3 linked regions of the Lonchura striata genome follow. The protein of the gene in region 1 binds, or shares a complex with, the protein of each later gene. Links are inferred from orthologs where the notes say so. Each region holds a gene or a part of one and is shown in the gene's direction. Other genes may lie near its edges.

Evidence for each region.
Region 2: the proteins of CDKN1B (region 1) and CCND1 are in contact, whole or in part, in a crystal structure (PDB 6P8F), measured with the Homo sapiens proteins. The link is inferred for Lonchura striata from reciprocal best matches to the Homo sapiens genes CDKN1B and CCND1. Residues at the interface, in NP_004055.1 of Homo sapiens: Lys25, Pro26, Ser27, Ala28, Cys29, Arg30, Asn31, Leu32, Phe33, Pro35, Val36, His38, Glu39, Glu40, Leu41, Thr42, Asp44, Leu45, His48, Cys49, Met52; in NP_444284.1 of Homo sapiens: Met56, Ile59, Val60, Trp63, Glu66, Val67, Glu70, Glu92, Lys95, Lys96, Ser97, Arg98, Leu99, Gln100, Leu101, Ile126, Tyr127, Thr128, Asp129, Ser131, Arg133, Glu136, Gln139, Met140, Leu142, Leu143, Asn146, Lys147.
Region 3: the proteins of CDKN1B (region 1) and SKP2 are in contact, whole or in part, in a crystal structure (PDB 2AST), measured with the Homo sapiens proteins. The link is inferred for Lonchura striata from reciprocal best matches to the Homo sapiens genes CDKN1B and SKP2. Residues at the interface, in NP_004055.1 of Homo sapiens: Ala181, Gly182, Ser183, Glu185; in NP_005974.2 of Homo sapiens: Arg294, Asp319, Val321, Arg344, Tyr346, Asp347, Gly369.

The regions. Positions count from the first base shown.
Region 1 is NC_134607.1:10,525,007-10,534,655, forward strand, and holds CDKN1B (cyclin-dependent kinase inhibitor 1B), read left to right. Parts: upstream 1-4,819; 5' UTR 4,820-5,261; coding exon 5,262-5,736; intron 5,737-6,279; coding exon 6,280-6,401; 3' UTR 6,402-6,410; intron 6,411-7,645; 3' UTR 7,646-8,875; downstream 8,876-9,649. UniProt on the Homo sapiens protein: Important regulator of cell cycle progression. Inhibits the kinase activity of CDK2 bound to cyclin A, but has little inhibitory activity on CDK2 bound to SPDYA. Involved in G1 arrest. Potent inhibitor of cyclin E- and cyclin A-CDK2 complexes.
Region 2 is NC_134608.1:55,236,857-55,246,617, reverse strand, and holds the start of CCND1 (G1/S-specific cyclin-D1), read left to right. Parts: upstream 1-5,760; 5' UTR 5,761-5,948; coding exon 5,949-6,146; intron 6,147-7,817; coding exon 7,818-8,033; intron 8,034-8,416; coding exon 8,417-8,576; intron 8,577-9,761. UniProt on the Homo sapiens protein: Regulatory component of the cyclin D1-CDK4 (DC) complex that phosphorylates and inhibits members of the retinoblastoma (RB) protein family including RB1 and regulates the cell-cycle during G(1)/S transition.
Region 3 is NC_134642.1:37,833,224-37,843,388, reverse strand, and holds the start of SKP2 (S-phase kinase-associated protein 2), read left to right. Parts: upstream 1-5,306; 5' UTR 5,307-5,397; coding exon 5,398-5,405; intron 5,406-5,682; exon of another isoform or gene 5,683-5,790; intron 5,791-6,043; coding exon 6,044-6,309; intron 6,310-7,818; coding exon 7,819-7,930; intron 7,931-8,209; coding exon 8,210-8,353; intron 8,354-8,823; coding exon 8,824-8,958; intron 8,959-10,165. Other genes in the region: G-protein coupled receptor-associated protein LMBRD2, read right to left, coding at 506-585, 810-983. UniProt on the Homo sapiens protein: Substrate recognition component of a SCF (SKP1-CUL1-F-box protein) E3 ubiquitin-protein ligase complex which mediates the ubiquitination and subsequent proteasomal degradation of target proteins involved in cell cycle progression, signal transduction and transcription.

The DNA.
Region 1 (9,649 bases):
TATTTTTAGAGACTGTATATTAACATCCTCTTTCTTTCTTATTCCTGGTTTGAAAAAGGAGAAGTTGGTTACCCAGAAAAGTACATCCATCACTTCTGGCTATAGGACACTCCTGGCTTCACCTGTGCTTCAGGGGCAGTTCAAGCTTGCTCCTATTTTGCACGTCAAACAAAATGAAAAACAAAAATTAAATTGTCTGAGCCAGTCTTCCCTGAGACAAAATCAGGGTATTTCAGAAGGACTCCTTCTTTAGCAAGTCAGGGGGAGTTGGTGACAAGCAGAGAGCTGCAGAAAGCTCTCTCTTTGAAGAATGAGATCTCTCTTTGGAATGAATACTTTCAGTGCTAGTAATTTAACCTGTATCTTCTGCAGACATAACTGTGTAACCTACCCTATCGTTATAGCACAGAAGAGGCATTTCTGACACAGCACCTGACTTTAAAAACAAATCCCATTAAGGACACCCTCAAATCCCCCTAAGGACAACCCAAATCCCATTAAGGACACTCCCAAGCTGTACCTGCAGGAACACCACCACAAGGACTCAAAATCCCCTGGGCTGGTCCTGGCATCTGAGCCCACCCAAGGCTGCTGCAGGTGTTGGCAGGTCCGGGACCCCTGGGCACCCCTGGCCCCACCTGCCAAGAGGGGAGCGGGAGCAGAGCCCGCAGAAGTGCCAGCAGCAGGGATGGGAATGGGACTTGCCCAGGGACAGCACTGGGGACGCTGCCAACAGCAAGGTCAGGTCCTGGCGCTGGCCTGATCTCTGTCCTTAGGCTCCCTCTAGAGTTTACAGCAAATGAGCAGAAGGTCTCAAATGCCACTTGAACAGGAGGGTAGTGTTTCCTTGCCCCCCTAGGGAGTGCTCTGCTCCTGGTCACTGCTGGATCATGTCCCAGAGCCTTTGTACACTGAAGTGGTTCCTTCCTTCCTGACAGTCTCTGCTGCTGAACCTCACCGGGTCCTAATCCTGCCTAGAAGGAAAGGGCTCCTGTTAAGTGAATATTATATGGTGAATACTTGGGGCCTGCACCCCAAATCTCATGGCAGGCTCACCCCACATCTCCTGAAGGAATCAGCACTTGGTGTAAACCTGGAGAGGCGGGGAAGTAGCTGTGGCTTAGTAATAGCTGAGGTGGGTTAGGAGCAAACCTCCAGATGGGTCATGCAATATCTCTGCTTTTTTCATCCTCGACTCTGGAGGACACATCCTGGTGGAGGAGCTCAGGTATGATTCCCAATTTTCCCCCTATTTGCAAGGGAATATATAAAATCCCAAGCAACCTAGATACTTTGTGTGTGCAGTTTGGATGGGCTTTGCTGGATCACGGGACAGCTTTATGAAGTGTTGGGGAAGGCGGGTGGCCAAAAAGAAGACGGGAGGCTTGCCTAAGCGATTCTGGTGGAAAGAGAAACAGCGAGCAGCTCTGCCAGTGGAAAAACCCAAACAAGAGCGAGGAGAGGGGTAGTGGGAAGAGAGGGGATAGGGTGTACAGAGCCTGTTAGAACAGCCACCCAGACCTTCCTACAAACACTCCTCCCTCCTCCCTGCTTCACTCCTCCAAGTTTCGTGCTGTTGTTTGGTTTCCTTTTTTTCTCTAATGCTCTCCTCCGGTCTTTGACTGGCTGAACCGGCCCCGGAGGGGGCAGAGCCGGCTGTGGAGGCTGGAGCTCTGCGGGAGGCTCAGCCCTGGCCCCCGTCCCCACCCCGCACCGCCTCCCCCGCAGCCCCACTGCTGTACCCCTCTTTAACAAGACGATGGCGCTCTGATCTTTCCACAGCTTCACTCCGGGACTTTCGAGTATATTTTTTCCTGTATTTTTTTTTTCCACGTTTCACTGCTACTACGGGCGGGCGCCTGCCTCTGTCCCGATTTGCTGCAGCCATTGGAGGTGCTGACTGTAAACAAAACACTTTAGATCATGGCAAGGTCGCTGCAGACACAGCGTTCTTTTTTATTTTTTCTTTTTTTTTTTTTTTTCGGTTTTTGTATTTTTTTGTTTGTTTTTGTTTGTTTTTTGTTTTTTGGGTTTTTTTTTTTTTTTCTTTCCTCCTCTGCAGCCGCAGCGATTTAAGGTGGATATCCGAGCTCGCATGGAAGAGGTGGGGGGACGAGCCGCGAGAGCCGAAAGAACGGCGGGAACCAACCCCGATCCCAGAGCACGGCCGCCGATACTCCGGGGATGCGGATGCTCCCGCCACGGGGGAGAGACTCTGACTTTTTTTTTTTTTTTTCCTCCTTAATTTTACCCCCTTTCTTGTTGATTTGTCCCAGCGCGACCCTAACGTTTCCGGCGGCACGGGCTGGGGGTTGTGCTGTCCCCAGAAAGACGCGCAGCTACCGCAGCTTCGGGGGTACACCCTCTCCCCTTTCCCTCTCCCCAGTCCCTCTGACAGCGAGGCAGGGTGATAGAGGAGAAGGGACAGAGGGATAAACCGAGGGGCAGACCATTTCTCATTCATTTTCTCCGTTGCTTCCATCAACGGCTTAAATTATTCGCGCCCCTCTTCTCTCCCCCCGCCCCACCCCCCCCCTCCGCCCCTTTGGATTTAATTATTCGTGCTCAATATACTTGTACATCATCCAGGGACTCAGTTTCAGGCCCTTGTGCTAAAGAAAATATAAACAGAACAACAACAACAACAACAAAACCCAGAAGGTTTTTGTCCTACAGTGACTTTTTTTTTTTTATTATTTTATTTTTTTTTTCCAAAGGCTTCAGATAAATCAGTTCTCTCTGTTGCACTGCTGTCATGTTTCTGCTGCTTTACTCGGGTACAGAGTCTTTTCCACTATTTGGAAACCCATACTCCCCACATTTTTTTTCTTTTTCCTAGTTTGTGTTTATACTCTGGTACAACTGTCATAATCCTACAGTCAAGAGGGCTGCCTTTCCCTTGTGGATTAGGGAGACAAGCAGAGACTCCCAGAGAGTGGAGAATGGGAACCCCTCACCTAAGGAATCTCAGGTGGGACACTCAGTAGGTTACCAGCAGGGAAGCCCCCATCGACAGGATGAGCCCTAGGCATCCTTGGACACTTTCTGCAGATCACTTAGTCACAACTTTCTTGTGTGGATCAACAAAACAAGCTCAGTGTCCCTACACCTGACAGAGAAAATGAAGCTTGAAATGGAGTGTTCTTGCTGTTGACAATGGAAGTCAAAGACAGGAAAACCTAGAGAAATGAAGATGAAATCCTGCAAATACAGCAGATGCAGGCCCACTTTTTTCCAGCTGATGGAGTTTTATCATGGACTTGCAACTTGAAAAATAATCTCAGGTCCTGCAGACATGTGAATATTAGCTATAATTTTTTACAAGTGAATTGCTGAAACTTGTAATTTCTGAGAGCAGTTAAAAACAACTTCCAAGTATTAAAATCCCCAGCATATAAATAAAAATAATGTGGCTAATAATGTATTTCAACCTTGTGGTTTTTAAACTAATCTAATTTGTTTTGTTTTGGTTTTTTTTTTTTTTTTTTTTTTTTTTTTTTTTTTTGCCTGTACACATAATTTTTTTGAACTTGGGTCTGATGGTACTCTGCTGAGTGGTGTGAGCATAAGCTGGAGGCCTGGAGGAGGACTGATGATGGCCAGCAAAGTGCTGGCCTGGGTTTGAGCACCGTGTGAAGTCCACTGTTGTGTCCTCTCTTCAATGTGTCCTCCTGCTGTGTCCTTTCTCCCATGTGTCCTCCTGCTGTGTCCTCTCTCCAGTGTGTAAAATCTCCACATTTTCAAGGCCAAACCTGCTGACTCTCATCTCAACCAGTTAAACCAAATTATATAGACCCCTGCCCTGTTGAGATACTTGTGTATCCCCCTCACCCTCCCACAGTGAAGTTTGGATAGATTTGCTCTGCTTGCAAGAGACATGTCCAGATGGATTGGTGTGAAGAGCCTTCAGGGCCTGCCAAAGATTCAGTCACCAGATCTGGACACCTGGAAATGTCACAACCTTTAGTGCCTGAGAGATCCTGCAGTGTCACACAACACTCTGGGGGCCTTCCCTGACTGGTGAGTGAAGATGGCTGTGGAAAAGGGCTGGAGAAAAGGGGGCCAGAGAGGAGTGCACAATTGCTCTTATGTCCACTACACCTGCTCTTAACTATACGAGGAAATTGCTTAGAAAATCCCTGGCTATGACTTTTTGCTCATCTGATCTTTTGATCACACAAACAGGACAAACCCCAATGCTATATTTTTTTTCTTTCCCTGAGTAGCTGACATCTGAAATCCCGGCAGATGTTATTTTAGAGACATTTCTTAATCTAGTCCTCTCTCTGCCGAGAGGGCAGGAGATGATCGCCTTGACACTAGGAGCCATCAGCCCATCTCCGCAGGCAGTGCGCTCAGGATGCTGCGGATCAGGGTGCTGGTCCCCGCGGCATGCCGTGGGGTGGTCAACCTGCCCACTAGCCCCGAGCTTGCCCCCAGCCCCCGACCTCATCGGGGACGTGTCGCCAGAGCCCAGCCCGGCCAAACCAGCGCGGTGAGCCTCTGCTGTCACTGCTCTGACTCAAAACCAGCCGTCACTATTCCTCAGGCATTCGGGCCAGCAGCGGAATGGGGTGCGTGTTTTTGTGGGGTGGCACAAATCCCGTCGGGTTTTGCGGGCTTTACAGAGGGATAAGAACAGGTTCGACAGTGTCGTCCCACCCCTCTCGTTTTCCCTTCGCTCCCAGCTCTCCCCGTCCCACCTTTAGAGCCGGCGGCGGCGGCGGGGCAGGACCGGGAGGACGGGGCGGTGCCCGCCGCTGTAACCAATGGCTCAGCCGGGCTGTTTAAATAGACTCGTCCTGTCAATCATTTTCTTCTTCGTCAGCCTCCCTTCAATCGCCATATTGGGCAACCAAGAAAAGGGCTCGTCTCTTGTTTTTTTCCGTCTCGCTTTTACTACGCGGCGGCGGTGCGATCGGCAGGGGCATCATCGGCACCAGCGCCATCGCCATCGGCGGTGGGCCGGCACCGGGGGGGCAGCGCTGAGCTCCGCTCCTCACCCGCCCGGGGCTTCCCGGCGGCGGCAGCGGCGGCTCTCGGGGCTCATCCCCGGGCCGGTGCTTATGCAAGGGCGCCTCCTCGCCCCTTCTCCGCGGACCGAAGGCGAGCGGGGCCGAGGCAGGGCCGCAGCGCGGGGCAGCGCGGAGCGGAGGCGCGGAACGGCGTCGCCGGGCGCCGGGAAATAAAGGGCGGCGGAGGCCGCGGAGAGAGAGCAGCGAGAACAACAACCGCCGCCTGGAGCTACAGCGTGCGGGGAGATGTCAAACGTCCGCATTTCTAATGGGAGCCCTACCCTGGAGCGCATGGAGGCCAGGCAGTCGGAGTACCCGAAGCCGTCAGCGTGCCGGAACCTCTTCGGGCCGGTGAACCACGAAGAGCTCAACAGGGAATTTAAGAAACACCTGCAGGAGATGGAGGAGATGTACCAGAGGAAGTGGAATTTCGATTTCCAGAATCACAGGCCGCTGGAAGGCAGGTACGAGTGGCAAGCCGTGGAGAAGGGGAGCTCGCCCGACTTCTACTTCAGACCCCCCCGGCTACGGAAAGCCGTCTGCAAGTCCGCCGGCCGCCAGAGCTTGGATGTAAACGGGAATTGCCAAACCGTGGTTTTTGTCGGTTCTCAGGGAATCTCAGAGGACACTCACTGTGTAGCTCAAAAGACTGATGTTTCAGAAAATCAGACGGACTTAGCAGAGCAGTGCACTGCCCAGAGGAAAAGACCCGCAGCCGATGGTAACGTACCCCACGGCTCTGCCCCGCGTCCCACTCGTGTCAGCGCCGGCGCTCCAGCCCTTCCGCCCCTGCCACGCGTGGCACCGGCTCGGTGTGCCCACCACCCCCGCCCCTTTCCCCCTAAAAAAGCCCGGGTAGTGTTGGCAGTCCCGGGGGTCCCGCCTAGAGTGGGAGCCGGTAGATGATTTGCAAGGACGAGCCCTTAGACGCGGGTCAGATTCCCCAACCCCTCGCTGTTCCACTGCGGGGACCCGGGCTCCTGCCCAGGTGGGAGGAGGTTCACAGCGTTCAGCAAAAGACGAATATGGATTTTAGCCGAAAAGAGGGAACTTGGGTCTCCTGCCTAGGGAGAAGCCCATCTCCCCACCCCCTGTTCGTCTCACGCAGCTGATACCTGACATGGGGATCTGGGAATATTCCCCCTCGGCTCCATCTATCCCCCCCTGGATGCCAAGCAAACATCTGGAAGGAAAATATTTTAATATCTTTCTTCCCCCCCCCCCCCCCCCCCCGACCCCTTCGTTTTTAATTTTCACCTCCTAGATTCCTCTCCTCAAAATAAAAGAGCCAATACAACAGAAGAAGAGGTTTCAGAAGACTCTCCCAGTGCCAATTCAGTGGAGCAAACACCCAAGAAATCAAGCCCGGGAAGACATCAAACGTAAAGCGTTTAGGTCAGTTCCCTTTAGGATTTGGCATTAGGATGCAAGTAAGGGAAAGAAGGAGTGACCGAGTGTCTATCCCGCATCTCTAAAGGGGTGGGGAGGGGGCTTCGAGCCCCTGTGGGCTCGCCGAGGGGTGTTTTCTTCGAGGAAGGGTGGCTTACCCCGAGCACTCGGCAGTGGGTGTGTGTTGGAGGGTGGGGAGTGGGAGGTGCAGGGCTTGAAAAGAACAAAACAAGGAGCGAAGCCCAGCCTGGGTTCGGCAGCGTCAGGGGGCTGGGGCAGGGGCTGCGGTGGTACTGCCCCTGCCTTCCTGCGGGATGGGCACCGGGGCCAAGGAGGGCCCTTTCCCAAGGACCGTGCGGATGCAGGGGTGGAGTTGGAAGCGCGGCTGGTGCATGCTGTCAGATGCCAGCGGATTTCGGGGGACTTCCCCTGTTCCCTGCTCCTGGGGCGTTTTCACCTCCAGTGTCAGCCTTACCGTCGCATGTCGCGGCCACCTCGCACTGCGGGAGAAATAAGTCAAGAAGTTTGGTTTAAGGGGAATCCGGGCACTTTCTCAAAATCCGAGCAATGCAAGGTTGTTGTGTTTGGTATGGGGTTCCCGCCCCCCCCCTCCTCCCCCCCCCCCCCCCCCCCCCCGCCCGTTTTTCTTGTGTTGTTTTGGTTTGGTTTTAGAGGCTGGCAGGGAGAAGGGAGAGAAGGGAGTGGGTTAATGGGAGGCTGGGTTGTGCAGGTTTTTTTTTTTTTTTTTTCTTTCCCCTACCCCCTTTTTGTTTTGAGGCGAGGGCTGGTGCGGGGAGAGTTGGTAAAAGTTGCGCTGGCGGTTTGGGAGCCGAGGTTAGGAATGAGGTTTACAATAAAACGATTTGTGATTGTGCAGAGAGATACTAAGCTGTAAAGCAGAAGTTGCAACAAATTAGTCCCGCTGGGGTGAGCCGTGGCCGAGCGCGGCCGTGCGAATGCCGCCACTCCCGCCCGCTTTTAGGGGTGGGGGCTCGGGAGGGGTCCCTCCGCGTTCCCCGCCGAGGGATGGAGGCTCGGGGCCGCTGGCAGCGGTGCGAGAGCACGGCCGGCGCGGGGGGGCGGCAGGGGCCCCGCCCGGGCCGGGCCCGCCGCCCTGGGGATGCGGTGTCGGTTTGAACCGGTTGCACCGCGGATCGCGTTTCTTGTCGATGTTTTCTAATCGCTTTCCCCGGTCTTTTTATTCTTTTTTTTTTTTTTTTCCTTCATTATTCCCGTTGCAGAACAGAGGATATGCGTCCTCGTTCGTCGGGTGCGGCGGGTGGCGATGAAGAGAGAAAGATGAAGAGTTGTAGTGGGAAAGGAAAAAAATACATATCGCCGATCTTCGGGACATGGAGGTCCTGTACAAGCACTGAAAAAAAACAAAACAAAACAAAAACAACCAGCAACAAAACAACAGCAACAAAAAGCAAACAATAACACTAAATTTTAGGCACTCTTAAAAGACCTGCCTCTAAAAGCATTGGATGTAGCATTGTGCAATTAGGTGTTTCCTTATTTGCTTCATTGTACTACCTGTGTATATAGTTTTTACCTTATGTAGCACATAAAACTTGTTGGGAGGGGGGAGGGACTGGAAGAGGGTGACCGATTGGAACTTGCTTTCACAATCTAGCAAGCCAAGAAATCTATGAAGAGAAGCAGTGTAGGTTTTTTATTACTTGAAGATGTATTGTCCCTTTAAGTGGGTCCATAGTGTTTTTCCTCTCTTTTTTTAAAAATTTGTTTAGTTTTTTTTTTTTTATGTATCATCGTGTTAACTGCTCAGAGCAGGTTATTGTGAAATTTCTTCCTCCAGCATTGAACTGAAGAGGAGGGAGCTGTGATGATTCCGTTATGTAGTAGCAGAAGTTCCTCGCTCTCCCACTCTCCAAATCCATATACCAAAACTGGTAACCTGTAAAAAGTTGTGTAAAATCATCCCACCTGAATACATTTCCTGATTATTTTTTTTACCTAATCTGGAAGGCTTTTGCTCTGAATCTGGAATATTGTTGTTTTCTGATCTGACCCACTTCCTGAGTGTGAGAGAAAAAGGGATACTACATCTTTAAACAGTATTTCTACGTTGCCTGTGTACTTGTATGTAAAAATAAAAAAAAAGTTTGAAGTGTACCTGTGTACATAACTCTGTAAAGACACTGAGAAATTATACTAACTTATTTATGTTAAAAGATTTTTTTTTAATCTAGAAGACAATATTTTTTCCCCATAAAGCCAAAGTGGCATGTTTTTGTGCATTTGTAAATGCTCTATTTGGTAGACTTTTTAGAAGGTTTTTTTTTTTTCTCTTTTCTTTTTTTTTTTTTTCCTCATAATTAATATGGCTGTGCTTAAAAGATTGCAGACTGAGCCAATTTAATTTTTTTTGTAATGTGTGGGGGAAAAAAATCCAGATTGATATTGTTTCACATCAAGCAATCAATAAAGAAAACTGCCATATATAAGAAGTATGGTCTTCATTATTGTGTGTTTCAAAGTCCCTCAGCCTGGCACAGGAGGAAACGACTGCAAGAAATAACAACAGTTTTCCTTTGAGTATCCATCTCTTCACGGGTCTCTGGTGGAGGTGAAAGTAAAGGATGCAGCACCCTTAGTACAGTATTGCCATTTCTTCATGGAAGGGTGCTCAGGCATTGGAACGACCTAGCCCGGACAGTGGTGGAGTGACCATCCCGGGAGGGATTTCAAAGACGTGGATGTGGCACTTAGGGACAGCGTTTAGTGCTGGGTTAACAGCTGGATTCAAAAGAGGGCTTTACCAACATAAATGCTTCTGAGTCTCCTCTATGGTAATTGGGAATGATGTGCCCTCTTGGTGTATAAAAATGGAATTTCCTGTGCCAAAATGTTTTTATGGTTTTGGAGTTTGGGGTGGATTTTTTTTTTTTTTTTTTTTTTTTTTTTGAGAGAAGAGGTATTTCGATGTATTTCTTGCGCTTAGTCCTCTTGACTCCTAAGGCTTCAAACTCGAGCCCAAAAGAGCGCCTCCCGGGCCGCCATCGGAGAGCCAGCGTATCCCGGGGCTTTCCCGAGCTTGTCCCTCCGTCCCTCGCTGCTGGCCCCGCGCTGGTGACCGGAGGCCCGGGGCATCTTCCCCGGGTGGCCGCTCGTGGCTCTCAAAGATGGCGCCTCACACGCCCCGGGCCCGGCGGATGCTGGCGGAGGCACCGGCCTCTCTCCGCCGGCCCCCGGCACCGCCAGGGATACGCGGGGCCGGGCGC
Region 2 (9,761 bases), on another chromosome or scaffold:
AATAGCTACTGTCTAGACTAGTTTAAACTTAACTTTAAACCATACCCTTAGGCTCCAGTTTAGCAATGTATTTAAACATATATTTAATTTTTAGGCACATGAGTAATTCCGGTGTACTTACTTATTTAAATTTAGGCACATGTTTCAGTCTTTTCCTGAATTAGCTTCTAAAACATTCACAATTTAGCCTCACTTCCATCAGTGCAAATCATTGTGCTACATAATTTGATTACTGCAGAACTAGGAAAAAATATTCTTGGTAATTTCTTGATAAAAATGTCCTGCTTTTATTACCAACATTTTGCTGAGGGGTTCAGCTTCTTTAACCAGTTTCCTTCTCCAGCCTGAACTCAAAAGCAAAGCTGGGATTTGATGAAATACTTCAGTTGTGAAGGGAATATGCTCCAACTATACACAGATTTTAAACAGGAGAGAAAAAGTGATGGCATAGTTTTATTGAGCATTTCAAGCAAAAATGCAGCCAGTCCCCTTTTCCCTATCCTCCTTTTTCCCCAACTCAATATTCTGGGACATTACCTATTAATTTCAAGGCATGATGGTGGTCAGCACTCACACCACAACACCACCAGCTTGTGCCCAAAGATGACCTCTGTGTGTATTTTGGGTTGATGTAGTTGTTGATCAAAACTGAAATTCATACTTTATTTTGATTTTTTTTTTTTTTACTTTAATGCCTCTGAAATGGAATGCACACTCAGAAAGACGATTCCTCTTTTTAATTTTCTTCTCCAAAAAGAGATGTGTTCACAGTCCAAGACTGCAAATCTGAGCAATTTGGTCAATGATATAAACACAAATGAAAATTAGCCAACAAAAGAAATTCACTTGAGTTAAACAGGAGGTTATTATCATACCTTGCACCCTCTTCTGTAACTAAATGGAAAATGAGTCAGGTTAAGAACCAACCAGAGGGGACAAAGCAGCTACTGCTAACACTGAGTAGCGTTCCAGACACAGCAGAAATATAAAATAAATAGGATACAAAGATGCAATTCTAGGATTATGTGTTTCCCCAAAAACATGCTATTCCAGATTCATTTTTAACCAAATCAGACTGCATCTCAAGTAAATAAGAAAATACCAGTTGCCACAAACAGCTCAAAATATGTATAAATATTTCCGAAGATTTCACTAAGACTATAATCTCATCTCTCAAGGTTCTCAATTCTTCACTTCCTTTACTGATTTCTGGAAACAAGTGGACCAGGGTCCCCAAATCTTGTTACCCTGCACCATTATTTATATTTTCACCAATCTAGCATGGTGTTGCAGATTTGAAATGGCAGCACCCCGAGTCCACTCCTTTGGCACACACATAGGAGTGCAAACACACACACACATACACATACACACGAGGCTAAAGATGGTAGAAAGCCATCAATGGCAAAGTGAATTTATTTGATTGTAGTGATTAGTACTACACACTACAGGTTCAATCCTGCTCCCTTTGAAATTGGTGGTATTACTCCCATTGAATTCATGTGCTCTGAAAAATGCCTGAGTTTTGCAAATTTATCATTTTGTCATCTATGCTTCAGGTCAAAACTATAATCCAGTGTTTTAGACTTGGTTCTGAGCCAAAAGATTTTTACTGAAGGTTCATAGAATGCATACTTGTCCTTCAGAGAGGTGCCAATCCACTTTACAACGAAGGAGCAGAGTGGCTGAGTGTCTCAGAATGGTCTGAGGGTTGCAAACATCTTGCAGGTGACCACAGCAACACCCCAGCTCCCAGAGTCTTGCCAACAACAGCACCTCACTTTAACTCAACAGAAAGGATGAGAGACCATCCTTTCTGAGAGCATTTCTGCAGTGGATGTGATCCATACTGATTTACTGACATTTATGGGGCATTACGCCCAAAATCGATACAAAACATCTCCCTGTGTTTTTGTTGCCATTTCTTTTTTGTTTAGTTGTTTTTTAAAGAAAATAATAACATTGTGCTTCAAAACCTTCTGAATAAGCAATTCAACAACACATTTCCAATGGTATTTATTTATGTGGCTTTTGGATGACAAAGAGCGAGTGCCATTTTGGGGAATAGAGAAAATGTTTCTTTATGTTGTAAATAAAATGTAAATGCTCTATGTGGCCAAGATGTGCTTTTTCCTACCTCACATATCCATATCAAACCCCAGTGTCTGTGCTGGCCATTTTCATGCTGGTATATTACCAAAACATACTGTCAGCTGAGCAAAACAGAAACTGTACAAAACCAAAATATTCTTCACTAAAACACTTTCACTTTAAGGATGCTGATGCTTAAATACATTGTTTATTCACCTTGTTACTGTCTGCCAGGCTTCCTCTGGTACCTCTCCCTGCACTGGCTCACTTCTGGCATGGCCTAACAGGAAGTTTTCCTCCATGAAGAAATGAAACCTTGCTCCCTGCTTCTTTTTTCCCCTGCACTTAGGCTTTTTGTGTTTTCTTACCCCCAGGATAAACTTGGGCTGAATTCCATTAGTTCTGGGTCTGGCCCTGCTTTTTTGGTCCCATCAGTAACAGCTCATCATCTTGGGACCCCCCAGCCATCCCTACCTTCCCTCCCACCCAGGCTCATGCCTCTCCCCAGCTTGGTGATGGTTCCCCTACAGAAACCCTCTGTGAGCTTTGCTCCATCAAATTCCTCATTTCACCAGCCCCCCACGGCTGCCCTGGGGTTTTGGGCACCGCAGGTGAATGCCTCCAGGTGGGTTTGGGATGTCTCAGAGAGACCCCACGCCCCCCTTGGGCAGCTGTTCCAGAGCTCTGCCACCCTCCGTGTGTCCCTGCCCTTGAGGTGACAATCCTTGTGCTTTGTGTTTACGGCCACTGCTCCTCATCCCGTTGCTGGGCACCCACTGAAGAGTCTGACACCTTCCTCTCGGCACCCCTTGGAGGTTTTTATAAGCATTGATGAGATGCCCTCGCAGTGTTCCCCAGCTCCCTCAGTCTCTCCTCTCAGGAGAGCTGCTCCACACCTGTCATCGTCTGCCTGACCCGCTCCAGCAGCTCCTTCTCTTCCTTGTCCAGAGGAGTCCGGAGCAGGAGTGGGTTTTTTTCTGGGGTGGGTGTGTGGGGGGGAAGACGTTCTCTTCCGCTGCGCTGCTCTTCGCGACATTACGGCGAGCACCGGCACGCCAGGAATGCGCGCTCCCGCGGCGGGGCCGCGCGGCGCGGCGGCGCGCAGCGGCGGGGGCGGGATGACATCATGAGAAAGTGGCGGCCCGGCCTCGGCGCCGCCGGCAGCGGGCGGGCGCCGCGGGGAGGGGAGCGCCGGGCAGGCAGCGAGCGGGAGCGAGGGAGGGAGAGCGGGCAGGAAGGAAGCGCCGTCGGAAGCCCCCGGGGGCGAGAGTGGCGGAAGCGGCCGCAGCACGCATCCCGCATCCAAGGATGGGCGGCTGGGGAGCGCACCCCGAGGCTCCGGTGCGGGCAAGGCGGCGCGGTCTCGGTGGCTCGGGGACCGCCCGCTGCCGCCGTCGGAGCGAGCGGGGGCGGCCCGGCGGCGGCTCCGGCGCTGCCACCCGCCCCGTCCCCTTTGTGTCGGCGGGACCGGGCGAGCCCCGGCCTAGATCTGCCCGTCCCGCCCGGTAACAGCCCCGCGCCGCCATTGGCTCCCGCGCCGACGCTTCCTGCGGCCGCGCCGCCCCGCGGGGGCTCCCCGGGCCCCGCGCCAGCCCCGCCCGCCGCCGGCACCGCCCGCCCGCCGCGCGGCCCCGCGTCCCGCCGCGCTGCTTTTATGAATGGAGCGGCGGCCGCGTGCTCCGAGCGGGGACAGGCACCTCGGAGAGCCCGCTCCGACCGGCGGCCACCGGCAGGATGGCGAGGCTGCGCCGCGCAGAGAGAGGGACCCGCGTGGCTCGGCGGCGCGGCCGGGAGCAAATGTTCGGAAGGAAAGAGCTGGCACGGTCCAATGGAATGCGGCCGGCTGCCCCAAGGGCTCGCCAAACCAGCTGCTCACCAGAAAGGTGTTGGGGGTGCAGGGTTGTTAATTAAATAGGGTCCCCCCGGATGTGCATCCAATTCCCACCCGACAGCGCGGGGTCGTGCGTGCTTCTTCATTTGATATTAAAACCTTTCCGGCCAGCTAAACTTGTGGAAACAGAAGTGGGCGTCCTGTGCGTGAAGCACAATAGACAGGCGGAGGGACAGGGGACAGCTTCCTCGCTGAGGGACCCTCCGGAGTCTCCCCATGGGCTGTGGCGTGCAAGGGGAACTGAGAGCGCGGGGCCTCCGCCATCCTCCTCCTCCTCCTGACAGACGGAGACAAAATGGAGACAAATGGTCAAGCAAACGAGTAAATGAGAAAATGGGCAGACGGTCCATGCAAAGAGATTACATAAACACACAACTGTGCAACAACATGCCCTGTGATCTTTGGCACTGCTCTCCCTGCAGGTCACGCAGGAGAGATGCTGGGTCCTCCATGGCTAGCCACCATCTGCAGTTTCTGCCGTCAGCGTTGTACCCCGGGCAGGTATTTGACACCCGGGTGATGCCAAAGCATCAAGGCTGAGGTTAATCCGTGCACCCCAATTTACAGCCTTCCTGCTTCTCCCTATGCCACTTTGGGGCAGGACAAGTCACTTCTCCCATGCATCAGCCTCACCTCCAGTGCTCCCCAGTGGGCCTCGAGTTGTGCTGTCAACTCCTGGGAAAGTGAGGCTTTCAGAGATGCCCTTTTTTAACAAACAGTGGGAAGCAGAGCGTCCTCAGGTACAGCAGGCTCGGCCGGGCAGCGGGCGTTATTTATGGTGGGGCCCCTCCACGTGTGGACAGAATGTCCTGTAGACACGGATGAGGCCCCTGCAGGCTCTGGCGGCTGCCAGCACCTCCCTCCCAGCCCACCAGCTCATCTCCCCAGAGGTGCTGGAGGGAGCCCTGGCCTCCATTTTGCTGCTCCGCTGGGATATTTTCCCTGGGTGGAGGTGAACAGTGGGGGTGAGGTGCGAGCGTGGCCTTCCCCGGTGTGCTCTGCCACCGGCTGCACCTCGGATTAGTTCTCGCCCCGTCCCCTGCCATCTCCATGCCCCTCTGGGAAGGCAAAACCTTTAAAGTGAAAGGAAAGACCTTAAAAAAAAAAAAAAAAAAAAAAAAAAAAAAAGAGGTTGTAAAATAACCATCTTGGCAGAGGGGTGGACACCTCAATTGTTTTAAAAAATTTGGTGTGCAGTAAAACCATCCTGGCTGGGAAAATACAGGACTGAGGAAATAGGAGAAAGGCTTTCCCTTGGAATCAGCTACAAAGAGTAGGCATTCAGGTTGGGAGTGCGCCTTTTTAAAGGACAGCGTGGCAGCTACATGCCAGTGACAGCACGATTAATAATTAATAATAATAATAATAATAATAATAATAATAATAATAATGATAGCAAACAGCGAGGCGCTGGTTCTGCTCCACTCCCCTCCCTGGCGCCCCTGTAAAATAATACGAAGTCTCCTTGCATTTCTCTCCCTGGTGTCTGTGTGTGGCCTTAGCCCCATTCATCATTTGGCTCCCAGTGCAAAACTCGCTCCATTTTTAAAATTATGCATGATCCACTGAAGAGACAATTTGGGTTTCCCCCACTTCTCCCTTGCCCTTGAAGAAAGCGAGCCCTTGTCTCATTTGCATTAAAACCCTGCTCTCTATAAGTTAAGCAAAGGGGAAGGACTTGAAGCCTATGGGATGGCTTTAGGGCTCTGCCCCTTGCTTTTGGCTCTCTCTCTCTTTCTCATTCTCTCTCGTGCTTTGATCTCTGCTTAACAACAGTAACGTCACAGGGACTACACCAGGAGAGTTTTGTTGGAAGTTAGAAAGTTTTGCAGCCTCCAGAGGGCTGTAGCGGCAGTAGCAGAAGCAGCATCCAAGGGACTCCTGGAAGGGGAAGAGAGAGAGCGAGCGAGCGAGCGACTGACTCAGTCCTGCTGCAGAGAACTGACTCGAGGCGACGAAGGCAGACATGGAACATCAGCTGCTGTGCTGCGAGGTGGAGACCATCCGACGAGCCTACCTGGATGCCAGCCTCCTCAATGACAGGGTGCTGCAGACAATGCTGAAGGCGGAGGAGACCTGCTCGCCCTCCGTCTCCTACTTCAAGTGCGTGCAGAAAGAAATCTTGCCATATATGCGGAAAATAGTTGCCACTTGGATGCTGGAGGTTTGTATCTTTTCGGGAACTTTTCCTTGCAAGCTCCGGCACCGAAACGAATTAATCCGGGGAGCCGCTGCCCCGTCGCCTGCCCCCACTCCCTTTCCCCGGGGTCGCTTCCCCGGCGCGGCACACGTTGCATGCCCTCGTGGAACGAGGCGGCGGTGGCCGGCTCGGTGTCCCCGCTGCCGCAGCCGGTCCCGGCGCCGAGGGGCGGCGGACGAGCCCTCCCCCCCCACACACCCCGGTGCCCCCGGGAGTCGGGGGGTGCCCGGCAGCCTTTCCGGCCGTCGGGGATCGGCGGTGCCAGCGAGGGGAGCCGGGGCAGGGCCGGCTCGGGGCTGCCCTGGCCCGGCGGGGAGCGGCTCCGGCCCGGCCGCCGATCCCCGGCCGCGCGGGGCCGCCGCCAGCCCCTGCCAGCTCGTGTTTTCTGGGGATTTTATTTTAAATTAATATCCCTGTACACGTATGCAAGCGGCTGCCCGTGCCAGTATTATGCGCCATCTTTGTTCTTTTTATTTGCAAAGAAAAGTGTTTATTAATCGGGAGAAAAACGAAGAAAGTCCCGGGGAGCAGAGCCAAGGGTGTGTGTGTGGCGGGGGGGAGCGGGGGAAGGCGCCGGGGGAGGAAGGTCGGGGGCCGGGGGACCCCGCTGGGGCTGCGGGCAGGGGGACCGGCTGGAGGGGCTCCTGCGCTTCTGGGGGGAGTTGCAGGGTGAAAGTTCCTTTGTTCAACGCGAAGAGAGGCTGGAGCTGCGGTCACCCCTCAAAGGCACGCTTGTGCTGCGGCAGCGATCGGCAAGGTCGCCTGGGAAAAGCCAGTTTGAAAGGGCCTCGTCCCTGGCGGGACACGTCCGAGGGGGCTCCCAGAGGGAGCCCCAGGAGCTGGGCTACATTTTCATGCCTTTTCGGAAGCCCTGGGTGCCCGTGATGTATTTTTAATTAATTTTTGAAACCGCAGCGCCCTGCCTTGCTCTGGGGAAATGTCGCGCCGGGCTGTGCTGCAGGGCGAGAGAGGGAGGCGGTGGATTTCACTTCGGGGGATCCCCCTGTAGCCCCCCAGCAGGACCAGAGCCACGGGCCTCGGTAAAGGACCCCCGCTGCTGCATTTTCAGCCTTTTTTGAGAGCTCGAATTATTTTTTAAATATTTTTAAATATTTTTTGAAAAGATGACGTCTGGGGAAATGAGGCTGGACGCCACCTTTGTGTCTCGACCGGAGAGGGGAATCGGGAGCACAACGGCAAATTAGATGAAAAAATAAAAGCGAAATTAATAAATCCGGGGCCCAGCCCGGATCTGCACCCCGTTACCAACCACGGGGGTTAGCGTTTTCCCCCGATTTCCGTCTTCTTCCCTTTTTAAAAATTTGTTCTTAAGGGCTGGAAAACTGGGCGCAGACCTCTTCTTCGATAACCCCCCTCCCCTTTTGCCATGAATCACCTGCGGGTTTCTAACGCAACATTTCCCCCCACTTTGTCACTCGTGACTTTCATTTTCTTTGATGACGCTACTTTCCCCATATTTATGTATTTTTTTCCCAAATGCGTTTCCCCCTTGTCTCCTTCAACCTTGCCCTGCAAAGCCTGGTGGTGAGGGAGGAGGGAGGGCGAGAGCAGCGGGACAAGCCTGGCTTTCGCCTCAGTTAAATTATTCTTCAACGATCTCTCTCCTTCTTGCAGGTTTGCGAGGAGCAGAAGTGCGAAGAGGAAGTTTTCCCCTTGGCTATGAATTATTTGGACAGATTTTTGTCGTTCGAACCCCTCAAGAAAAGCCGATTGCAATTGCTCGGAGCTACCTGCATGTTTGTGGCTTCAAAAATGAAGGAAACTATTCCTCTCACCGCAGAAAAACTGTGCATTTATACAGATAACTCCATTAGACCCGACGAATTACTGGTAATTTCACGTTCGATCACTTCAGGAATTTAAAAAAAAAAAAAATCGAAATAAATATTAAAATATAGATATACAGAGCTACAGGGAAAGGAAAAAAAAAAAAAAAAACCAAAAAACAAAAACCAAACGGCGCGTTCGGAAGCTGGCGGCAGGCAGGGATGGGGCCGGGATGGGATCGGGAGCAGCACCGGGACCCCCCCGGCCCGCGGCGCTGGGCGGCCCGCGGGCTCCCCCTGCCGGGCCCGGCGGGCGCTGCCCCGGCCCGGTGCCGGCGCGGGGGGACCCGCGCACCCCGCCCCGGCAGCGGGACAGCGCTCTAATCACGCTCCCCCCACTTCTTCCTCTTCTCTCCTTCCCCCTTCCCGTCCCTCTTCTCTTTGCAGCAAATGGAGCTGCTGCTGGTGAATAAGCTGAAATGGAATCTGGCTGCAATGACCCCCCACGATTTCATTGAACATTTTCTTACTAAAATGCCTCTGGCAGAGGACACCAAGCAGATCATCCGTAAACATGCTCAGACTTTTGTGGCTCTGTGCGCTACAGGTATGAGCCCTGCACGTTGCGCAAAGCGCGTTGCTCCCCGACATGCGCCCACCCCCCGGCTTGTAAAGCTTCCCGTAGCTGTTGGTCTCAGGCGCGCTCGCAGAGCTGCGGGGAGGTAGTTTAAGCCCCGATTATTGCCCCTTGTTTGCAGAAGGTGGATTACTTTGCCAGAGGTAAGTTTTTCTTTTCAGAAGATATTTCGCTTCTGAGTCGGAGTTTTGTGTGGTTGTCAGGGAGGGAGAGCGACTGCCCCCCAGCCCTGCTCTCTGTAGCTCAGCGTGGCACGATTTCTTCACCTCCCCACACCGGATTTATGTGGGGGCTGCAAATGGCTTACTGTCCGTGCGGGGAATCCCTCCCCGTGTGGATTCATTCTTTAGGACAAGTGTTTAAAGGCGGAGGGAGATTTTCCCTGTCAATAGCACTGTGTGGGGGTTTTAAACCTTCCCTCTTCAAGTTGCGTCTTCTCCCCCCTCCTCGGTGGCTGGTGGATTGGAGGAGGGCCACGTGGCACAGAGGCTTTTCCTGGCACAGGATCGAGCCGCTGCCATCTGCACCCTCGTGACCACGTGCTGTGCTGGAGCCATGAGCAGGGCTGGCCTCCAAAGACACCAAAAAGCCATGGTGTCCACTCTCCAAAACCTCGGTGGGACATGCCAGTGGCCCGTTAGTGCTGTGTAGCTTGTTTTCCAGATGTTGGATTTGGTATGAAAAGGTTGAAGGAAGATGGCAGGCACTCAGAAGGAACACAAATGAACAAAAATAAAAATAAACAAAAAACCAAAAAAAGACACCCAGAAACAAAAAAAAACAGTTTTATTTCACAGAACTGGTCCTGCTCCAAGGCCTAAAGATAGAACGACCAAGCCATAAAAGAGAAGTTTATAAACACTGGCATTGCTCTTCATCTTGGGCCTAACATCAGCGTGAAGGGCAGCTCATAGGTGAGGTTGCCTGGAGTAATGCTCAGTGCTGGAAGTGCCACAACCTTCAAACCGCTGGCAGCAATATTTTGGGAAAATCCAGTGTGTCCCTCTGTGCCAGGTTCTACCAGATATGAGGCTGCTGTGACTCTGGAGGTGTGATTTGGAGCTAAAAAGAATGGCCACCTGGTCTCCCCTTTGGATGTAGGGATGTTTAACCTGGGTTGTTGTGTTGGCAATGACAGGGATGAAAGCAAGAGTA
Region 3 (10,165 bases), on another chromosome or scaffold:
GTTCCTGCCAGCACACACCTAGCAGGCTACCGTGACTTTGGTGGAATACAGTACATTTCAGATAAATGTAACTACCATATGTAAATGTAATTTTAAGAAGCAATTAGATATGCCCCTGACATATAAGACAAGCAGCTGATTTCATTCATATGGTGTAAATTAAAGGTATAAAATTAGATTTTCAGGTTTAAAGTCTTTAAGATTGTAAAGGATAAGCATTCATCAAAGCCTCTCCTCATAACCAGGATTGCTCAGAAAGCTTAGTCCTATTGCTTTAAAAAAAAAAAAAAAAAAAAGGAAATCTAGTGACATAAAAAAAAATATCACCAGATAAAGATCCACCTTTCATCACCTTTTCCCTCACTGTCCTGTGTATTTACAAACTTCAAATTTTGCATCACAGAGATAACACTTACTTATCAGTCTTAAAAACACAACAGGCTATAAATTAAAAAAAGAAAATTATAAAACACAGTCTAAAGATAAAAAAACATATAGTTCATACCTTGGAGCAAGAGTAATGTAAGAGCCATTACTTTCTGCAGGACTGGAGTTAACCGCAAGTTTGCATCGATTATAAATAGTCTAAAAGATAAATTTAAAATGTTTGGAATAGATTTGTTGTCTGATGAGACCAACAGAAAATAAAATTAATTATGAACACAAGGCATTGTCATGTTTAATTTATTAAGATACTACATGAAAGACTTCTTTGGTGTTTCTAAGAGATGGTTTCCTGCAATCACTAGTTTAGAGAAATACCATAAACATTTGATGCAATTAAGCAGGAAGTCCTGCATGTTTCTTACCGTACTGACATCAAGAGGCAGGATGAATACAATCAAGAAGCAGAGATACCAAGCCAATAATGTTGCTATAATCACCAGCCTGTGCTGTTTCTTGAAGTCTCCATACCGGTGAAGTAGGAATAAGGCCAGGAAAAAGACAAACACTATCTCGAGGCCCAGTGCTGCACCACTCATTGTTAAATACTGGCCCCAGCCACACCACTCTCACTTGGGAAAGCAGAGCTGCAAGACAAAATGATATTTAATACCATTAAAATCTCCAGAATATATTTACACAGAAGAGTTGTTCAATGGACACTTTAAAACATTAACTAACTTTTCACACTTCACATGACCAAGATTCTTATCAGAAAAAACCAAAGATTTTCAGCAAGATGCTCTGAAATCCTCTGAGGAAATCAAAACATATCATTCCAATGCTGTCATTTCCAGCAATGTATTAGGACAACTCTTGTTCATCATCTTGATATACAATAGATCCAGGAGGCAAATCTCTGTCCTTAAATAAACTACTAGCCCAACTTTAGGTCCAGGACAAATTTCAAGATTAAATTCTATTCTGCTCTTTTTTCCTCCTTTTAGAAGCAATCAACTAATTTTTTCAAAGGGTTAAATGTTTACATTAAATGTTTCTGGATAGCTAATGAACAACTTTTTTAATGGAGTGTACCTTAAATACATATTTAAAGTCTGTACATAAGCTTTAATAGAGCATAAAAACACAGAAAAGAATGCGTTAGTCTACTTGTAATGCACCTCTTTTAGGTTTGAAATGTCAAGAATTTTGATTCACCTTCCTACTCCTCTCTTTATTCAGAGAAACAATGGTCTCAATTCATTTGGTATAGTTTGCCATTATGTATTTTTGCTTTGCTTGTCCTTCTGTGTTTTAATTACTCTCTTACCATCAGAACTACTGTCAGAAAGTTCATACAGCTTTACACAGCAAAGCTATTACACAAAGGGACAGTGAGCTGCACAAATCCATTACAGAAAATGTCACTGACTTGTTACATTTTTATTTAAATTGCTTCAGACCTCTGTAATGAGCATCATTTTATCACAGCCATTTTATGCGTTATTTAAAAGGTTTATTACTGTGGCCAGTCTTTCTTGTCTCTCCAATGAGATTAACATTTCACTAATTTTATTTAAGTGAAATAGTTTTTGCTATGGCTTTGCTGTTAAGACTTCCAGTACTTCCACTTTTCTTGAGATTTAAAAGGAATGCTATTACTGAAATTCCTCTCTATTTACTTTTATATCTCTTTAGAACTTCGTAAAGTGAACAGTTTCTTTTACTGATTTCTCAGTGAATTGCTTAAGCAGATCTACAATGCTTGAGGGCACTACACAGTGAAAACTCTCTTATGTACACTAAAAAACCTCAGAAGTTTGTTAAGTCATTACTACCTTGATGGACACAGAGGAACAATTATTCTGTGACTTTTTTCTCCCCAGCGAGTTATCTTCCTGTTTCTAGTCAAAGATTCACACACTTTTACTTTCCTGCCTTTTGTCAAACATGTTTATAAAACTATCAACACTTCCATTAAGACAAATCCCCTCCTTACTATCTGTCTGTACTCTACTTTAGTTAGATAATTTGTACATTAAAAACTCAGGATATCTCACCCATTTCTCAATCACTTATTCAAAGCAAGTCCTTGACTGTTCTTTTGCACCATTATTGCTTCCACATAAAAGTCTTTTCAATTTACAGTATAACAGCTAATTTCGCAGAAGCAAAAATAACAAAACAATTACAGCTTCTAAAAGTATCAGCTTCATTAAGGCACTGCCATCTGGCATGCAGTTTTTCGTGCCCATTAGCACCACACCTTTTGCTACGTAAACAAAAAAAATTATACAGCATACACTTCATTAGTCACAAAGTTTTATTACAGTCACACCTAAAAAGCTTCTACCAAAACAAAAGGTAAAATGTTTTTGTGCAAGATGCCGCGCTCAGCTACTATCATGAGTGTACTTCCAGAAGTGTTATAAAAACGTACTGAATGTTCTAAAGTAAAGAGGGAATTGATTCCTACTGCAACTTAACTCACTTTCAAAGACAAAAGTGACTTTGCAGTTGTCAGTAAACTACATCTTTATGTTCTTCTCTGGTTCCCATTTTAATCTCAAAACACAAAAAAGAAAGGCTATTTTTTCAAAAGACCAAGACCAATAACAGAGTTGTTTTGAATTAATATATATACATTTTCAAAGTAACAGTTTAAAATTTTTAGATAGAAACCATTTAAAACCAGCTCTACACACAGAACGATTAAATGGAAGAAAATCCACAAAGTGAGAAATGCAATACTTGAGAAGAGCTCTTCTGGTGAACTGAATGCAATCCAACAGTGCAGATGCAGATACGTCTAGGACCTGTGCTACTAGATCAGGCCTTAAAATACATTACTGCAGGCTATAAAGCCATGCCTTCCTGTGGAAAGCAGCATTTGCCACTGAACCTGGTTGCTAGCTCAAAGAAAGCTAAGCCTCTTACCTATCATCCTGTTTCATCACTTTATTTAGACAGCCATCTCACTATTGGCATACAGCTACGTAGTATCTGCTTGCTGGAATTCCAAAATTGCTAAAACAATGTTGTACTGAAACAACCACTTCAGAAGAGCTCTCTTGTACTGTGGAACCTTCAATGGCTTAGAGGATGCTTCTATTAAAGCAATGACAATGACAAAGTAACAAGAGCCCTCACCATGAATTGAGAAGTACTTATCAGCATACTCAGTTTCTGAAAAAGCAGGCAACTACAAATTAATACAAATAAAATTAAAAGCTGAAACACTGGCACAGGAAGTGTAACTTAAGCAATAAAACATAAGGACATGCTCCTGTGTTAGCTTAGGATTTTCCTGCTTCTTTTTAGACGGACAAAATCAGCAGTTTTTCATTCTACCCAACTACTAACACTGAATGCACCATAAAGGACTCAGTTCAGGCTTAATACACCCTAAATATGAGAGACTCCCTACTATCAACAGTATTAAATTACCCTGCCAACCTAAGAGCAACTGCATTCACGACATCTACATTACAAATGAACTCTGCCTGGTACAGAAAACTCAACCTACTAAATGAAACAGCAGAGAATGAAAACCCCCACACTTTTGAGCTTTAATATAGCACCAAATTTAACAAATCCACTCCAGTATTATATTCTTAAAGAAAGGCTAGAAAGAGTAAAGCATATCTGTTAAGGATTCTGCCAGTCTCCCAGCCTGATGGGAGACTGCGCTCACACAAAGCAGGTGTCAGTAAGGCAGTCAAATGACTACTGCCCAAACACTGCTTTCAGGCAGACTATTTATTAATTTCCAGATTCTAAAAAACACTCGGGTTTTTTGTAAAACCCTCTTTCGATTTCCCATACATTAATAAAAAAGATTTACATGACTCACAAAGGAAAAAGGGGCTGCAAAAAAAGGTGAAATAAACTCAGCTTTTTTTTTTTTTTTTACCCAAAAGTCCACCTCTTTTTCATCTGATTATCTGCTTAAACAATCTTTGAACAACTGTTCCGTGACTTAAGATAAAACCGGAAACGGTGAAAAAATACTTTTTGAAAGATTGTTTGGATCTTAATTTGAGTCACATCATTCTCTCTCTGTATGTGACTGAAAGCTGTGTGCTCTTTGCTACGGGCTCCATTACCACCCTCAATTTTATAGGCACGTCTCTCCATCGCTATGCAGCAAACAAAGGACAGCATCTGCAATCAAGTGGTTGACTAAGAGCAAGGCTGTAGGTGTGTTCAGAATTAGTTCTCCATCCCCACCAATTTCAAAACAAGGAGTTTAGCGTAAAAAACGCAGGAAGAGCTGTATTGCTGAAAGTCCCGCGGTGTGAAAAGACTGCGGGGTCTCTTCAAGGCATGGTGAGGCTCAGGACCAGGTGTTCCCAGAGAAAACCTCTCTCGCTGGAATGCGCCAGCGCTCCCCGGCGTCCCCGCCCGGCGGTGTGCGCACAGGCCTGTGCGGCACAGCACCGAGCTCCAGGGACTCGGAACCAGCACAGCCCCGCCGTACGTGCCCGGGGGGCAACACCCGGCATGCGAGCCTGGAAACCAACGCACCGACCGCCCTCGCCCAGCCGTGCTCCGCGACCATCCTTCCCTCCGCGTCTTTGTCGCCGGGGACGTGCCCGGGGACTGCCGCTCCCCAACCCGGCTCCTGTCCCCGCTCCCGGCCGTGACTCGGCACTGCGGCCCCGCTCCGCCCGGCCCCGCATCCCGCCCGCTGCGTCTCACCACGGCCGAGCAGCCGCTCAGCGTCGCGTCCCCCGCGGGGCTCCACCGCCCACCATCCCGGCCGGCACCCGGCTCAGAGCGCGGCACACGGAGCGGCGGCCGCTCCCGGCTTCTTCCGCGTCGGAGCCGCCGCCATTCGCCGCCCGCTGCCGCCGGCCCGGCACGGCCCCGCCTCCGGGCGGGCACAGGGCTGCGAACTACAGCTCCCGGCAGCCTCTGCGCTCCTGCCCCCGCCGCGGCTTCCGGCCGGCGCCGGGATAGCGCGGTGCTGAAAGGCGCGGGGCGCGCGGCAGGCGCGGACCTCCGAGCGCCATGTACAGGTACGGGGGCGGCGGGACGCGCGCGTGCGAGTTCCGCTGCCGGGCTGCGTGGGAGCCCTCACGGACCCCTCGGGAGGCCTGGCTGCGCGGGGGTGCCTGGGGGGGCCGTGCGTGGGAGCGCCGGGAGCGGGTGCGGGACCCGGGGAGCGCGAAGGAGCTCCTGGGCATGGGAGCCGTGCCGGGATCGCTCGTACGCGTGCGGCCCCGCGGGCTGTCCCCGGCCAGCGGGGGGTCCTGCCCTCGGGATCCCGGCAGCCGCGGGGAGCGCTTCCCCCACCTGCTCGGGCGTCCCGTCCCGGTGCCCGCGCTGCCGTCGCGGCTGCGGGCGGGTTTGGTGGCGCCGGGAGGCTGCCGCGTCCCGCCGCTCCATTGGCTCCGCTCCCCGGTGCCTCGCCCGCCCCATCCGGGAGCGAGGCGCGCTCAGTCCCAGGCGCGCTCTTCCTCAGTCTGCCAGATCGAGCACACGCCTGCGCTGTGGCCTCCGCTCGTGCTTCCAGCGCCCGCAGATATCCCACACTTAATTGCCCTGCATATGGATGTGGAGTACGTGTGACTGAAATGCTTCAAGGATCCCCCTCCTGTGTTTAGTGTCAATCTGGCAGTACTCTCAGAGCCTCTGGGTTTTGCTGTGTCTGCAGAAAGCACCTCCAGGAGATCCCATCCTCTAGCACTAATGTTTCCACCACTTTGGAATGGGACCCCGGCAAGACCTCGGAGCTTCTCTCGGGTATGGGAGTGTCGGCCCTTAAGAAAGACAAGCTGGGCAATGAAAACACACCACAGGACCTGCTGGTGTCATCACCCTGTCTTCCTCCAAAAAGGCAGAAGGTGAAGGACAACGAAAAGGACTTTAAGGACTTTGTTATCGTGCGCCAGCCATGGCTGCTCCGACAGGCAGAGTCAGGTACTGTCACCCTAGTCCAGGTTTTGCTCACCCTTTGGTAGAGATGGAGAGTGAGCATCACGAGTCGGCCCTGCTTTGTTGTTAGTTCTTTTGCTCTTATCCAGCAGAATGTCACTTTCAGATATAGCGGCTTTCAGGCTTGGGGTGATAAATCCTCTTTTATGTGTGCCTTTAAATAGGGGTGGTGTGTCTGGCTCCAGAATTGTGGCCCATGAAAAACAGGGTTCTCTGCTGCCTAACCCCATGAGCACCTTTGTGTTTGTGCTGGGGGATGGTGTTGCATGTCCCTGTGCCTGTTTGCTCTTCTGTATGGGACATAGGTGGCACTTCAGCCCAGCAGGGCTGTGTTTGTGAATCAGTGTTTTAAGGTCGCTCGAAAATCAGTAGCAAAAGTAGGCTTAATATAAAAGCAGAAGTGTGACAAAGTTTGTTGGCAACATTCATTCTAGTTACCAGGTGCTTAAAGAGCACAGAGAAAAAGCAAGCTAAAATCAATCAGTCTAAAACCAAAGTCAATCCAAAAAATACCTGTTTGAAGGCAAGAGGAGAAGGGTAAAAAGAGTGCAGGCTGAGGTGTGCCAGCAGGGCTGTGTGCCAGCTCCTGATGGAAACAAGCAATATGAGGGACCATGCCAGAGGCATAGAACCATATGAGGGAAATCACATCAAAGGGTGGCAGCCTGCTGTGCTGGAAAGGGAAAGAGCAGGGCTCTTGGACTCTTGAAAGGGGCGTTAGAGAATACTAGGTTTCTTTCCTTGGTGTCTAAGTGCGGTTGTACTCTGGATGAGTATGGGATGCAAAATAAATAAGCAGCTCTCTCCAGGCATTATGCTGTCATACAGAAGGTGGAAATGCCTTCAGACAATCCTCTTTTTATATAAGACGCACTGCTGGGTTAAAGGCAGCTGTTACTGAGCTCCACCATTCTCAAATCTCCCATATGAATCATGACACATTCTGGAGCCCAGAGAGAAGCCCTGTGGTTTGAACCACATTGTTTTACATAATTCTTGGAGTGGTGATAGCATGTATGTTTTAGGAAGCAGTGTGTAGTACCTGATTTTGTCTGTGTATCATGCAGAAGCATAACTTACCTTCAGCTCCCTTCTGGGACCCTTGCATGCATAGGAAGAATGATCATTCACAGAGGGGAAAAAAACCCCAGAAAATCATACAAGCATTAGATTACAGAGGCAGTAACTAAGATGCTCTTGTTCCCAAAGTGAGTTATGTGAGTAGTGTCCATGGCTTTACTATGTATACAAAGTGAATATTACAGGAACCTTTCCATTTACCAGTCATGCCTAGGCAAAGATGGTAAAAATGTCATCCTACAATGATAAGCTGCAAGGGAGATGAATAGTGGGGCTGATGTCTGATGTAGGCTGATGTGTGGCCTACAGAGAAACTGTAGAGAGGCTTTTAACAACCAAACCAAGCAAGGCATCTGACCAGAAGGTGAAAATGAACTAGCTTTAACTAGAATGTGTTTTGCTCTTTCCCTACAGGTATTTCTTTGGATGCACTTCCAGATGAATTGCTTCTGGCAATCTTTGCCTGTTTGCCCCTAAAGGATTTACTGAAAGTTTCTACTATTTGCAAGAGATGGCATCGACTTTCGTAAGTATTATTTCTCTTCGTTTAGCACTGAGGAAAATCTTTGTTTTCATATACCATTAAATGGTCTGGTTTTCATCTTATTTATACATATATAATTCAATTTAGGCCATATGTGGGTATGTATATCCAAAAGATGCCTCACATGTTTTAACATTATTGTAGTCTATTAAATAGCTTTCCCTTCTCTGTTTTTGACACCAAAAACTTTCTGTGGTTGTACTCATAGCTTTGACCTGTTACCCATTTGAATTCACTAATGAGTAAAATTCTATGCCCCAGATTTGATGAATCTCTCTGGCAGACTCTTGATTTGACTGGTGGGAATCTGCTGCCAGGACTGCTTGGTCACCTGTTGCCTGCAGGTGTTACTGCGTTCCGCTGCCCAAGATCTTGCATTGGGAATCCGTTGTTTAAAACAAGCAAGTAAGGCTTTTCCTGCATGTTCTGGATCCTGAAACTGTCTCAAGTACTTAGTCTGTGTAGTTTTGGTTTTAAGGTATTAGCAACCATCAGCAGTGTTTGTGCTGTGTCTGGAATGTGGAAGAGTTGATCAGTGATTAGGCGTGTGTTGAAACAGGAGGGTATGCATCCACCTGTCAGTTACTTAGAATCAAGGTGATGTGATTTTTTTTTTAAATATCAAGCATCATAATACCCTTTCAGTTAATATCTTGTAGAGCCCTGAATTCTCATAATCTCCAGCATTTTTACATGGTACACTCAAATCATTTAACTCCAGTAGGATAGACTTTAAGATGTTGCGAGGTATTACGTAGAAATATTTTCTGTAAATTGTGTATGCTTTTAGTGTATGGGATATGTTTGTGATGTGGGGAATTTATGGAGCGGGTTTTAATGCAATTTTAGTAAGCTTTCTTCTTTTTTTTTGTTAGTCTTCTTAAAATTCAGCACCTGGATTTGTCAAACTGCACAGTGTCTGCTGCAGATCTCCACAGTATTCTTTGTCTATGTGAAAAGCTGCAGAACCTCAGCTTGGAGGGTCTAGTGCTTTCTGACAACATCATCAAGTAAGTGACCTGATTGGGAATACTCAGTGAAACCTTCTGTTTGGTGCCATCATTTTGTGCAGGCTAATGAAAGAATGCAGTGGAATGTTGTTCATTGTGGGTGTATTTGAAATGGCCAGTTTTAGGTGGCTATTTAGTTTGGCTTTTTTTCCTCTCAATTCCTCAGAGTAGTAGGAGGTTGGAGAAACTGCTCACCTCTCTATGGTTTATGTATCCCTAAGTTAAACTTCATAGCAGAGCTACTTTAATTTTCGCATTTTTTTGCTCCCAAGAGAACTTCATGTTTGGTGTGCAGGTTCTTTTCTATTCCAAGGGCTCTCAGTACCTCTCCCACCAGGTGCCCATTGTGCTTATGCACTGTTGCTCACTTTTTATGAAGCCCTGGAAGATTACAGATTGTGTCAAGAAGGTGAAATGTTTTTTTGGTTCAGCTGCAAAGACATTAATGGGTGTGTAGTCAACCTTCTGTTCGTCACACCAGGGGGTTGTGGAGGTGCCATGGACCAAAGGTCAGATGACAAAGACCCTGGCTTTCTGATTCCTTCCTCACTCCATAGAGGGGGAACTGGAGGAAAAATAGACCAATATAGTTTGGCTTTTTATACAATCAGTGGTAACAGTTAAAACTGTCAGTAAATTGGGTACTAATCAGGCAGTAATGATGGAATCCTATTGCCTTCTGAACAAATGTGCTATGCACATAAAGACAGTGTCTCCTTGTGGCAGTTCCAGTTGAAAGTAGTTTAGGAAGTCACTTGAACCCCTTTCCTAGACCAGGGTCTAAAATTAGCACTGTGCATGTGGATGAGGATGTTCTCCGGTTGGATCTTGAAAATCTCCAAAGATAAAGCTGGATAACCTGCTAAATTCATTAGTGCTTAATTACTGGAATTTCTAGGTATGAATACAGTAAGTTGGGAGTAGGCATGTTACAGTGTTCCAGGTTTTGCTAACTGCATGCATGCTCTAGTCTTGCAAACAAATGCATTCAGGGGATGCTATTTGGACACGGATTTTGTCTTGGAATAACCTCCATTTTGCAGAGGGGTGACATGAGAAACAGGATCATTGTTTTGTCTTTTGTAGAGCTGTAACCATCTCTTGATAAGCTGTGTTGTATGTTTATTGTCATATTGCAGGAAAAGGTGAAAAGAAATAATTTCCTCGTAAACTTAGTTGTTGATAAATATGCAGACTTGTCAGCAGT